Linked DNA regions of Caenorhabditis elegans. The protein of the gene in region 1 purifies or fractionates together with the protein of each later gene. This does not show direct contact. Each region holds a gene or a part of one and is shown in the gene's direction. Other genes may lie near its edges.

Evidence for each region. The genes of interacting proteins can lie anywhere in the genome.
Region 2: the proteins of icl-1 (region 1) and dhp-2 fractionate together in Caenorhabditis elegans (co-fractionation; one large-scale study listed by BioGRID). This does not show direct contact.

What each region holds. Positions count from the first base shown.
Region 1 is NC_003283.11:723,650-730,112, reverse strand, and holds icl-1 (Malate synthase), read left to right. Parts: upstream 1-2,108; 5' UTR 2,109-2,155; coding exon 2,156-2,185; intron 2,186-2,254; coding exon 2,255-2,728; intron 2,729-3,133; coding exon 3,134-3,961; intron 3,962-4,029; coding exon 4,030-5,278; coding exon of another isoform or gene 5,279-5,289; exon of another isoform or gene 5,290-5,330; coding exon 5,331-5,656; 3' UTR 5,657-5,775; downstream 5,776-6,463. Other genes in the region: fbxb-72 (F-box domain-containing protein), read left to right, coding at 6,286-6,353, 6,399-6,463.
Region 2 is NC_003282.8:9,976,012-9,981,360, forward strand, and holds dhp-2 (Dihydropyrimidinase 2), read left to right. Parts: upstream 1-2,110; 5' UTR 2,111-2,174; coding exon 2,175-2,260; intron 2,261-2,309; coding exon 2,310-2,490; intron 2,491-2,534; coding exon 2,535-2,706; intron 2,707-2,754; coding exon 2,755-3,011; intron 3,012-3,057; coding exon 3,058-3,290; intron 3,291-4,016; coding exon 4,017-4,329; intron 4,330-4,377; coding exon 4,378-4,698; 3' UTR 4,699-4,764; downstream 4,765-5,349. Other genes in the region: C47E12.14 (Salivary lipocalin), read right to left, coding at 77-154, 239-373; rrp-1 (Ribosomal RNA processing protein 1 homolog), read right to left, coding at 4,832-5,048, 5,136-5,349.

The sequences.
Region 1 (6,463 bases):
AAAAGATTGTCGGGAAGTTTAAATTAAAATCTTTAATTTAAAAAAAAATTTCGATAGTTTTGGAATTTTCAATTTCCAAAAAAAAATCGAAAAATTATGGCGAGTCATAAAAAAAATTAAAATTTCCGGAAAAATCGTTAAATTTTAAATTCTAAAAGGTATAAATTTTACAACAAAAAAATCGATGAAAATTAATTTTTCTAACCATTTTGACAGCACTTTCACATTAAAAAAAAATTGGCGGGAATTTCAAGTTTTAGGTTGTTCCAAATTTTTTGGCGGTGAATTAATATTCTATTTTTCGATTAACTTAATTTCACAACAAAAAAAAATTGGAGAAAGTTATATCTTTAACTTTTCTACAAAATTCAGCGCTAAATTTAAAATTTTGATTTTTAAAAAATAAAGTTTCCGGAAATTAAAATATTCCTAACTAGCCTAAAGCCTAAAGCCTAAAGCCTAAAGCCTAAAACCTAAAGTTTAAGACAGGGCTAAAGTTTCATGTAAAAAATGGGTTGAAAATTAACATCTTTAATCTAGATTTCTTGTTGTAAAAAGTGTTCATTATATTTTCTGGCACCGCAAATTCCAAATAATTTTTGACCTTCCACTTCTCTTGTCAAACAACTTCAACCACATGTGTTCTGACTCCTTATCACCAAGATCATTGATTAGTGCACATATACATCTCACATCATAGATACTTTTCTTTTTTGGATCAAAGAAGCTTCAGCCCCGCCACTTCACAGATCATATGGTTACAACAAAGAGATAAAGAGATAAGTCAGGAGTCCGCAGAGAAACTAAGAACCAAACACGCGATATTCGGGTTGTCCACCGTCGGCTGTTTTTGTTGCAGTGGTGAATTGGGGATGTGTGTAAGAAAAAAATTATTTGGAAAAAGACCAACATCGTGGCGCGGTGAAGGTGCTTTGGTGTCTTCTTTTTGAATAGTGCAATTATTTGAAAAATAAGACCAAAGTATTGTTTTCAAACAGGTTATGCAATAGTTTATAGTTAAAAGAAAACCTGAATTTGACAGATATTTCAAAACTGGCGGGGATAGCCGGTCTTAGTGGCCGCTAGCAACGAGTTCAAGCCCTGACACCCTCTAGGATCACCCAGTCTTAAATGGAGCAATCTGAATTCTCCGTGGCTCGAACCTAAATCCCAGAGAGAGCTCCACCAGGAATGTTGTACAGAAATTCAGCGATGCATAAGACTTGAAGAACGGGTTTTATTTGACTTGAATTTAAAATAAAATATAGGTTTTCAGTTAAGTTTTGTAGCCTTTTTGGGAAATTCTGAACATATTTTAAAACTTTAAAACTCCCCGCTACTCCAAAAAAATATCCTATCAATGTTGTTTTCTTACGAAAAATAACTGATTCCAGTGGGATTTTGTTTGTTTGCCCTTTCATTATATGTAATTGTTTACTCAACTTTTTCCTGATTATTTAGTATTATTTAACATAAATAGTCTGGCAATATGAAGAAGTAAGCTTTACAAATTTGAAAAACCAAAATTTACCATTTTGTAAAATTTTTCAAGTCACGGTTACAGCCAAATAATTAAGTGAAAAATTACAAAAAAATTATTATGTACATTAAAACTGCAAATTGGGTGCAATTCTAGACTAATAAAAAATATATAAATGCCCTAAAAATTTCATATCTTAATTTTTTCTGGTTGATTTATTTTGACTTTCATTTTTTGTAATTTAAAATAGACTTACAATTTTGTAATTCTGATAGAAAAACCAAGTTTTTTCTAAAATATTAACAGTTAGCACCCAGCATTTCAAATTTCAAAAAAACTGCATTATTGACAAACATCTCCCATATACCTAAACATTTTCAAAAAGCGTACTTCATCAACGATCAACCATCATATCAAGCTGCCAAAAAGACACACAAAAAAAGCGTAAACAAAATAATTGACTGTTCTCTCTGCACCTCTGCGTCTCTTTCTATCTATTCATCAATTGTCTCTCTCTCCTAATGATATCACACACTGCCTCGACTCCGCCCCCTATAGTTTCGGACCCTTATCGCTCTGCGTCTCGTCGGGCAGAGTATAAAAGCCGGGTCCCGGGAGGTGTGCCGACTTTAGTTCCCTCACAAGAACTAAGCTTATTATACAAAGACACACACAATGAGTTCTGCGGCTAAAAATTTTTATCAGGTATGTTGGTTTATTTTTTTATAATTTGAAATTTAATATATGAAATTTTTAAAATTTAAATTATTTCAGGTAGTCAAATCGGCTCCAAAAGGCCGCTTCAAGGGCATCAAACGTGACTATACCGTCGAAGATGTGCTCAAACTCCGAGGCTCCATCGACATTGACTACACCCTTGCCACACGTGGAGCCAACAAACTCTGGCAACTATTGCACACTGAGCCATTTGTGCCGGCTCTCGGAGCCCAGACTGGAAACCAAGCAGTTCAGATGGTCAGAGCCGGATTGAAGGCTATCTACTTGTCCGGATGGCAGGTGGCTGCCGACGCAAACTCCGCTGGAGACATGTACCCCGATCAGTCTTTATATCCAGCAAACTCTGGCCCGGAATTGGCGAAGAGAATCAACAGATCTTTAAGAAGAGCAGACCAGATTGAAGCCTGTGAAGCCGAGGACTACCTCGCCCAACGTGATTGGTACGCGCCAATCGTTGCCGATGCAGAAGCCGGATTCGGTGGAGCCCTGAATTGCTTCGAGTTGATGAAGGTAGGCATGCAACACTAACAGTTGCTCTTCACTGACCACTGGACACTTTTGGGGGTGAGAGAGATAAGAGTGGCAGTTGGCATTGCCGGTGTGTAGCTTTGTTGTGTAAAAGTGTATAGTTTCAAATGATTTCAACGCGGGCGTCTAAAGGAAACGGGACGGGGAGTGTGTAGGGAACAAAGAATGTCCAGTGGTCCTGGTCCTTTGACCTATTCAGTTTTCCAAAATCGGTACATACGAAGTTCCATGTGTTCCTTTCTTCTCTTTTTATCACCCCCATTTCATCGCAGCGCTCACTTCTCGGTCAACAAACATCTTTCTTCTCTATTTTTCTCCACCCAACAATGATTAGAATGATTAGATAACGCTATCAAAAACAACAAAAATGATCGTTGGTTGTTTTAGGCCTATATCGAAGCCGGTGCGGCAGGAGTTCACTACGAAGATCAGCTTGGATCGGAGAAAAAATGTGGTCATATGGGAGGAAAAGTCTTGATCCCAACCGCCCAACACATTCGTCACTTGAATGCGTCTCGTTTGGCTGCTGATGTCTGCGGAGTTCCTACAATCATTGTCGCAAGAACCGACGCAGAGTCCTCTAGACTTTTGACATCTGACATTGATCCAAGAGATCATCCATACATTGACTACGAGGCTGGAAGAACGATTGAAGGATTCTACAGACTCAAGGATTCCACTGCAATTCAGTATTGTATCGATCGTGCCATCCAATATGCTCCATACACCGATCTCATCTGGATGGAGACCTCTCACCCAACGATCGCCGACGCCCGTGAATTCGCTGAAGGTGTCCACAAGCAGTACCCAGACAAGATGTTCGCCTACAACTGCTCTCCATCCTTCAACTGGAAGAAGCATCTGTCCCCATCGCAGATGGAGAAGTTCCAGAAGGAGTTGGGAGCTATGGGATTCAAATATCAGTTTATCACGCTTGCCGGATACCATGCCAACAGTTATAGCATGTTTGACTTGGCCAGAAACTACAAGGAGAAGGGTATGCTCGCCTATTCCGGGCTCCAGGAAGGAGAGTTTGCTGCTGAGAAGCATGGATATACGGCAGTAAAGCATCAGAGAGAAGTGGGAACCGGATACTTCGACGCTGTCAGTCGTGCGGTTACCGGAGGACTCTCTTCGACTACTGCCTTGTCAGGATCCACTGAAGAAGCTCAATTCCAGACTGCTGTTGCTTCGCAGGATGAGGAAATCCTTTCGGTACGTTTTATTCAGACCTGCATATTAAGGCAAGAATTAGAAGAAAAAATAACTAAACAAAATTTCAGCTCACCGCCCAAAACGTTGCTGGAGACGAGAAGATCCTCACACCAGATGCTCTTCGCTTCCTCCACGACCTCAACACCGAATTCAACCCTCGCCGTTTGAGACTTCTCTCCAAGCGCAACCAAGTTCAGGCTGATATCAACAACTCCCTCTGGTTCCCAGATTTCAACAAGGAGACCGAGGTGCTCCGTAGTGATCAAGGATGGAAGGGAGCCGAGATTCCAAGGGATTTGCAAGATCGTAGAGTTGAGATCACTGGACCAACCGATCGTAAGATGGTTATTAATGCTATGAACTCTGGAGCCAATGTATTTATGGCTGACTTCGAAGATTCCAACTCCCCAACATGGAGAAACCAGCTTGAAGGACAGATCAACTTATATGATGCTGTAAGAAATAACATCTCCTACACCCACCCAACTACTAAGAAGGAGTACACACTGAATGAGAAACACGCCGTTCTGAAGGTCCGTCCACGTGGATGGCACCTTCCAGAGAAGCATGTCCTCATCCACAACCAGCCAACTTCAGGATCTCTCTTTGATTTCGGACTCTTCGTTTTCCACAATGCCAAGGCCCTCATCGCCCAGGGCTCCGGTCCATATTTCTATCTTCCAAAGCTTCAAAGCGCCGAGGAGGCTCAACTCTGGGCTGACGTTTTCAAGTACACCGAGGACAAGCTAGGCCTCGCCCGTGGAACCATCAAGTGTACCGTGCTCATTGAGCATTTGCTCGCCAGCTTCCAACTCCACGAGATCATCCATGCCCTCAAGGACAACATTGTCGGACTCAACTGCGGACGTTGGGATTACATCTTCTCCTACATCAAGACGTTCCAGAACCATCGCAAGTTCCTTCTCCCAGACCGATTCCAAATTGGAATGACCGCTCCATTCATGAGAAACTACTCCTTGGAAGTCATCAAGGCCTGCCATCTCCGTGGTATCCATGCCATGGGAGGTATGGCTGCCCAGATTCCAATCAAGCACGACCAGGTCGCCAATGACAAGGCATTTGCCCTAGTCAGAGCTGACAAGGAACGAGAGGCCACTGACGGACACGATGGAACATGGGTTGCTCATCCAGGATTGGTGCCATTGGCTAAGAGAGTTTTCGATCAAATGATGCCAAAGCCAAACCAGATCAGCAAGAATCTCACCCGCGCCAATTGCACCAAGGAAGACCTCACTGTGATCCCAGAGGGAACCCGCACTGAAGCTGGATTCCGCCATAATATCTCTGTAACTCTTGGTGAGCCTTAAAAAATATTTTTGAACATTTTTGAAATTGGAATTAATTTCAGGATACCTCGACTCTTGGCTCAGAGGAACCGGATGCGTGCCACTCTACAACTTGATGGAGGACGCTGCCACCGCCGAAATCTCGCGTGCTCAGCTCTGGCAATGGCTCCATCATGATGCTAAGCTTGAGGACGGTCGCACTATTGACGCCGGACTTGTCAAGCAAACGATTGCCGCCGAGACCGAGCGTCGTCTCATCCGAGCCGGATCAGTTGTCAACCGAATCCCAGAGGCTGCCGACTTGCTCGAGAAGTTTGTCACCGAGGAGAAGATGAGCGACTTCTTGACCACCGACGCTTACGACAGGCTTGTCTCTGAAGGATATTAGGAAATTTTTTTAAATTTGAATTACTTATTTGTATACTTCTCTCCATGATTTTCGTTGCACCTACTGGTTTTCTTGTACATTCTGCCGTTAATTATAAATCTCTTCAGTAAAATTTTGTCATGTCCGTGTTGTGTTCAAAAAGTCCACGAATTCCAGACTTTCCCACGATTTGAGACTTTACCTCATATCCGTGTCACTTCATTTTTTCACACAAAAAAAGCACGTAGTGAATCACTTGAAAAAAAAATCTTGAATTTTCTCTGGTTCTCTGGTCTATGCGTAAGTCTCAAAAGTTTGAGATAAAAAGGTGACATCTATGAAGCGTGAAAATTGAAGCTGCAGAGTCATAAAGTACGAAGCGATGTTTTGTTACATAAGCTACATATGTTTTCTATCTAAAACTTATGTTTCATTATTCAACAATCAAATTGTTTCAACTGTTTGTGTTCGTGTTCCGCTGCAAACACATATAGCAAACTGTAAATTGCAATATAGATGCTCTACAGGTGGCCTGCTGCCTCCACACACCTATCGACTCAAATTAGTACATCTGCGCAACGACTCGCCATTCAAATAGTCGATAATCTTACGTCAGTTGTCCATTCCCTCTCATTTCTTATTTAGCACAAATGAATATTCTCCGACTACCCACAAAAGCACTTCGCTGCACACTTCAACACTGGCCGCTTCTAGAAATGTAAGTTATTTAACTAAAAACAAAACCAAATGTGAACAATTTCAGATTAACATTTTCGTTGTTTTCAAAAAAGACGAAAAATCTTTCTAAATCTCTGCATCGAAGCGCCT
Region 2 (5,349 bases), on another chromosome or scaffold:
TTTGTAAGCTTGTTCTTGCTATCTAACACCGCGTCTTTCGTATTCTGAAATTGTATGAATGATATTTTCCACTTGCCCAGTTGTTCTTTGTCCAATCCAACATTTCGAATATTGCCAATAATGTTTGATTTTGATGGTTAACCACAAAAGTTAACTGAAAGGTGAAAGTTAAAATGCTGATTAATATTACAATATATTTTTGTGCATTCTTGAATAAATTATGCTACAAAAAACATACCTTCCAGACATCAGATTTATTTGCGTAAGGAAAAGATGCACGAAAAGCTGCTGAAGCAATTTGATCTCGAGCTTCATACCCGAGAAGGCAGAAAAATAGTATGGTGATATAGTTTATAGTTTGCAAATTGGTCATATCTAACAAATTACAACAACATGTTCAAACTTTAAATGCATGGCAATGCAGGAACGCATTCTGTGCGATCAACCTATAGATTAAAGATTATTGGGATGAGTAATAAAGAGTGTGATGGGTAAACGTAATCAAAGCGTTGAAATTGTTTAACTTTAGAATCTGAAAATGAAATTATACAAATATCTTCAATGCGGCTATACTCTGAAAAAACAAATATAAAAAAATGCCCAATTGTTGTTCTAGTTCGACTATCGATTAAACTGTAATTCAAATTTTATTTATTTAAAAAGATCCTTATTTTTGGAAACTTTCCAATTTAAATTTACGTTTACTTCAGATTTGTTAGATTTTCCTTGACCCCTGTTGATAGAATGCTATTAGAGCACTCAACGAGCTTGAATGATCTTCTGTCTTCTTCAGTGTAAACCACGCGGTATCACTTCAACAGTTGCTCTTCATTTTTCTAAGTTTCTTTTTCCGAAGACAAGTTTTGTAGAGACTTTTCGAAAATTAAAGAACCAGTCTGCAGGATTTTTAAAGTATGCCTTATCAATTATTAAATAAATCTCAATGTCTAGAACTTCAATTTCAAGGCCATTTTATGATCATTTCATTGAATTCATCCTCTCATTTTTTGGAACTTTTTGTTCGTTCTGTGATCTAGGTATCAATACAAGAAAATTATACATCCTTTTAGATATAACTAAAATCAAGACCGCCCACCAAAGTGCGTTGATTGATAGATTGATAAGAAGAACTGGGAAAAGGAAAAAGAGAATTCCCACTAATAACTGTAAAGTGATAAATGACGAGGTTGTCCTTGAAATTTGATATTTTAATCTATCGATAATATACCTTTGGAGGTTCAGGAATCAAGAGTTTATCATGAAGAAATTAGTATTTATTATGCAAAAACCATATCTTACCAAAAAAGTTATCTACGTGTTAATTTGCTTATTCACGAACTTTGCTAATTAATTACAGAGATAAAACAGTATGTATTATGCTCTTTTTTAAAGTGAAAAGTTTTATAAAATATTTAAATTAAACCGAGGTTAAAGTATGTAGAACAGTTTTTGATTTACAAAACTCAATTGCTAAACTGTATAGATGAAACAAGTTACTTTGATCATTCTAACTGCATCGATTGTAGACAATTTTGTGAAGGCTGAACTACCGTAACCGTTTTTGGATATCTTCAAACGCTGAGACTTGGATCTAATAACAAACCTTTCCGCAGGTCCAAAGACGACTGCCTCACCTCCTAACTAAATCTGATTTTCGGTTGTTTTTTGGTTTTAGGGCAATGTGCTGGTTGTAAACTATATGGCACCATTTCTTTATTTTTACAACTTGGAACCTTTACATCTGCTGTCCAGCAGAAGGCCGGGGAGGTGGGCTCACGGGAAGAAGAGCTATGAAAAGACAACTGGTGTTGATGCATACACACCTCTGATGAGATACTTTCTCTCTTTTATTTTGTATATTGTTGTTGTTATTCTGTTCAATCAAAATTGAGAATATCTTGAAGAATATCTTGATTGAAAGCTCATTTTGTTGGATTAGCATTTTTATTAGTAAAATTAAAGTATATGAAACAATATGTATCCCGCAATAGCAATTTTATTCCTCAAAATGTTTCTGTAAAATATCACGCCTTCTTCCTAGTTTCCCACTGATCCGTTGTCTTGATCTCCGCCCACTCCCTATTCCACCGTCGCTTTTTGATATCCATTTATCGGTATAAATAAAACATTTTAGTTGATTCAAATTTAATTTTAATCAAATTTTTTCTGTAGAAATGTCACTTCTAATCAAAAATGGAACCATTGTCAATGATGATGCTATCTTCAAATCCGATGTTCTGGTCCTTGATGGAAGGATTGTGTGAGTCCAACTTTGAATCATGCATCTTAATGGAAAATTTGAATTTCAGGGAAATCGCTCCATCCATCCAACCAACTCCTGGTCTTGAAGTAGTTGATGCAACGGATCGTCTTGTTATTCCAGGTGGCATTGACCCACATACACATATGCAGCTACCATTCATGGGAGAAATTGCAAAGGATGATTTTCATAGGGGAACGGAAGCTGCTGTTGCTGGTGGTACAACTATGGTATTTGAAATTAAGAAATAAAAGTTTCCAACTTTTGGTTACAGATTATTGACTTTGTAATTCCAACAAAAGGCGAATCCCTCCTTGTTGCTTACGATCGTTGGAGAGGGTGGGCTGATCCAAAAGTCGTTTGTGACTATGGATTGTCGATGGCAATTACCAGTTGGGGGCCTGAAATTGCCAAAGAAATGGAAATTGTTACTGGAGCTGAATATGGTATACCAAGTTCTAGTTTTAGTAGTCCTAGTCTATATCAACTTTTAGGAATCAATTCCTTCAAGTTTTTCCTCGCGTACGCAGGTGTCTTTATGGTTCGTGACGAAGAATTCTATCAAGGAATGATTCAATGCGCAAAGTTACGTGCATTGGCTCGTGTTCATGCTGAAAACGGATCCGTCATTGCGGAACGATGTGAGCATCTTCTTTCTTCTGGTATTACTGGACCAGAAGGACACACTCAATCTCGCCCAGAAGAATTGGAAGCTGAAGCTACTTTCCGTGCCTGTACTATGGCTTCTCAGGTATTTCGGATTGTGAGATTTAAAATATTCAATGAGAAAATTTCAGGCAAACTGTCCATTGTACGTAGTTCACGTAATGTCAAAAGGAGCAGCTGCTGCAATTGCTCATCACAGAAAGAAGGGAGCTGTTGTGTTTGGAGAACCAATTGCTGCAGGACTAGCCACTGATGGAAGTCACTATTATAATGAAGATTGGCTTCATGCTGCTCGTTATGTCATGTCTCCTCCACTTTCTCGTGATCCATCAACACCTAGTGCATTGATGAAATTGTTGGCTGCGTAAGTATAGAATTCTTGGAAGTGTATCAGTGCCGTGCGGCTCTCGGCGCGAGCCGAGAGCCGGCATTTTGGAGCTTTTTCGGCTCTTGGCCGGAGCCAAGAGCCGAAAAAAATTTCCGACTCGGCGCGCGCCGAGAGCCGACTTTTTTCAAGAGCCGCACAGCACTGAAGTGTATATTTACTACCTCCAAATTAGCCAAAAATGCGATTTACACCAAAAAGGAAAACGTTTTTATCAAAAAAATTCAACTCAAAATAGCCTTTAAAAAACCGTAAATTGGGCGGCACATACTCTAGAACTTGATGGGTAAAAAACTTACGGAAGAAACAGCGCGGATTTTCCGCAGGCACAGATTCAGAGTAAGTCCAGCCCAACTGTCAGATTGCTCGGAATTTTTAATTATATTATTGTAATTTCACGATATTTTGACTTGCCCTTCCAAAGACACACGAATGTATTACGATGGGTCTAGGTGCGCAAAAAAGTTTGTGGTAGTCTTTTATTGTCCATTTTCTACAAAATTCGCTAAAACTAAAATCGTTTTTAGCTAAAAATGAAGTAATCCCGTGTACCTTCAAAGAAGAGGTCGAAATCTCGTGAAATTACGATAACTCAAACTTTCCTAGCATATTCGGTGGAAATTAGAATAAAATTTTCAAAAGAGACAGTTCACCTTTAAATTTTCAATTAAAACCCCCAACATTTTGAGACTAAACAATTTTCAGTGGAGAATTGCATCTCACTGCCACCGATAATTGTACATTTGATTGTCAACAAAAGTCTCTTGGTAAAGATGATTTCACAAAAATTCCGAATGGAGTAAACGGAGTTGAAGACAGAATGTCAGTTGTTTGGGATAAAGGAGTTCATGCTGGAATCATTGATCCTATGAGATTTGTGGCAGTCACTTCTACAATGGCTGCTAAGATCTTCAATTGTTACCCACAGAAGGGAAGAATCGCAGTTGGCTCCGACGCGGATATTGTGATTTGGAATGCGAATGCAACTAGAACTATTTCAAAAGATACACATCATCATGTGAGTTTTAGGTTTTAGTAAATTCAATTTTAATGCAAAAAATTCAAGGCGATTGACTTCAATATTTTCGAAGGAATGCAAGTACACGGAGTTCCAGAAATCACAATTTCCCGAGGACGTACTGTTTGGGCAAATGGTCAACTGAAAACTGTTCAAGGTTCAGGACAATTCATTCCTTTGGCTCCAGACTCTCAAATCGTCTTCTCAGCTGTTGACAATCGTAAGAAGGCTATGGAACCTGTGAAAATAGACCGAATTCCATATGAGCCATCGGCACTGCAGACACCTGATGCCAATGCGAACATCGTTGTGAAAGCTCCAGTCAGGGCAGCAATTCCTCCAGGAGGAGCTAGCAGCATTCAGTTTTAAATCTACTTGTAAATAATTGTTTTTTTTTTATTTTTAAAAATTCAATAAAAAAATCACTTCCAAAAAGTAACAATGCATCAAAAATTGAAATTATAACAAAAACATAACAAATCAAGCAACAATGATATTCAGATTAATTTTTCTTTCCTGCTTTTCTTTTCAGGCCGCCGACCATTCTCTTCTTTCCGACTCCTTTAGCTTTCAAAAGTGGGCGCCCTTTCTTCACTTTAGGAACTGCTGTTTTCTTTCCATTTCCTTTTTTAACTTCAGCGATTTCGTCATCTGGAACATCATCTCCGTTCTCCTGCCGTGCAGCTTCGGCAGCCTCACGAGCTCGCTTTTTGATTTGGCTTTAAAAAATTTTTATTTTTAAAGTTTTTACATTTCACGATAAATCTAACAATAAATTCGTCAGCTTAATACGCCTATAAGTGTACCTTTTAACTTTTCTGGACGACTTTCTCTCTTGCTTGAAGCTGTTGGCCAACACAATGGCCTTCTTCTCGGCTTCTTCATAATCATGTCTTGTCAACCTCTCCTTTGGAACTGGGGTCTCGAAATGTAATGGATCTTGTCCACGAGAACTCTTATCGAACTTCTTAACAAGATCATAGATCTTCTTTCTTCTCTTAGCATTTAAATGTTCTTGCT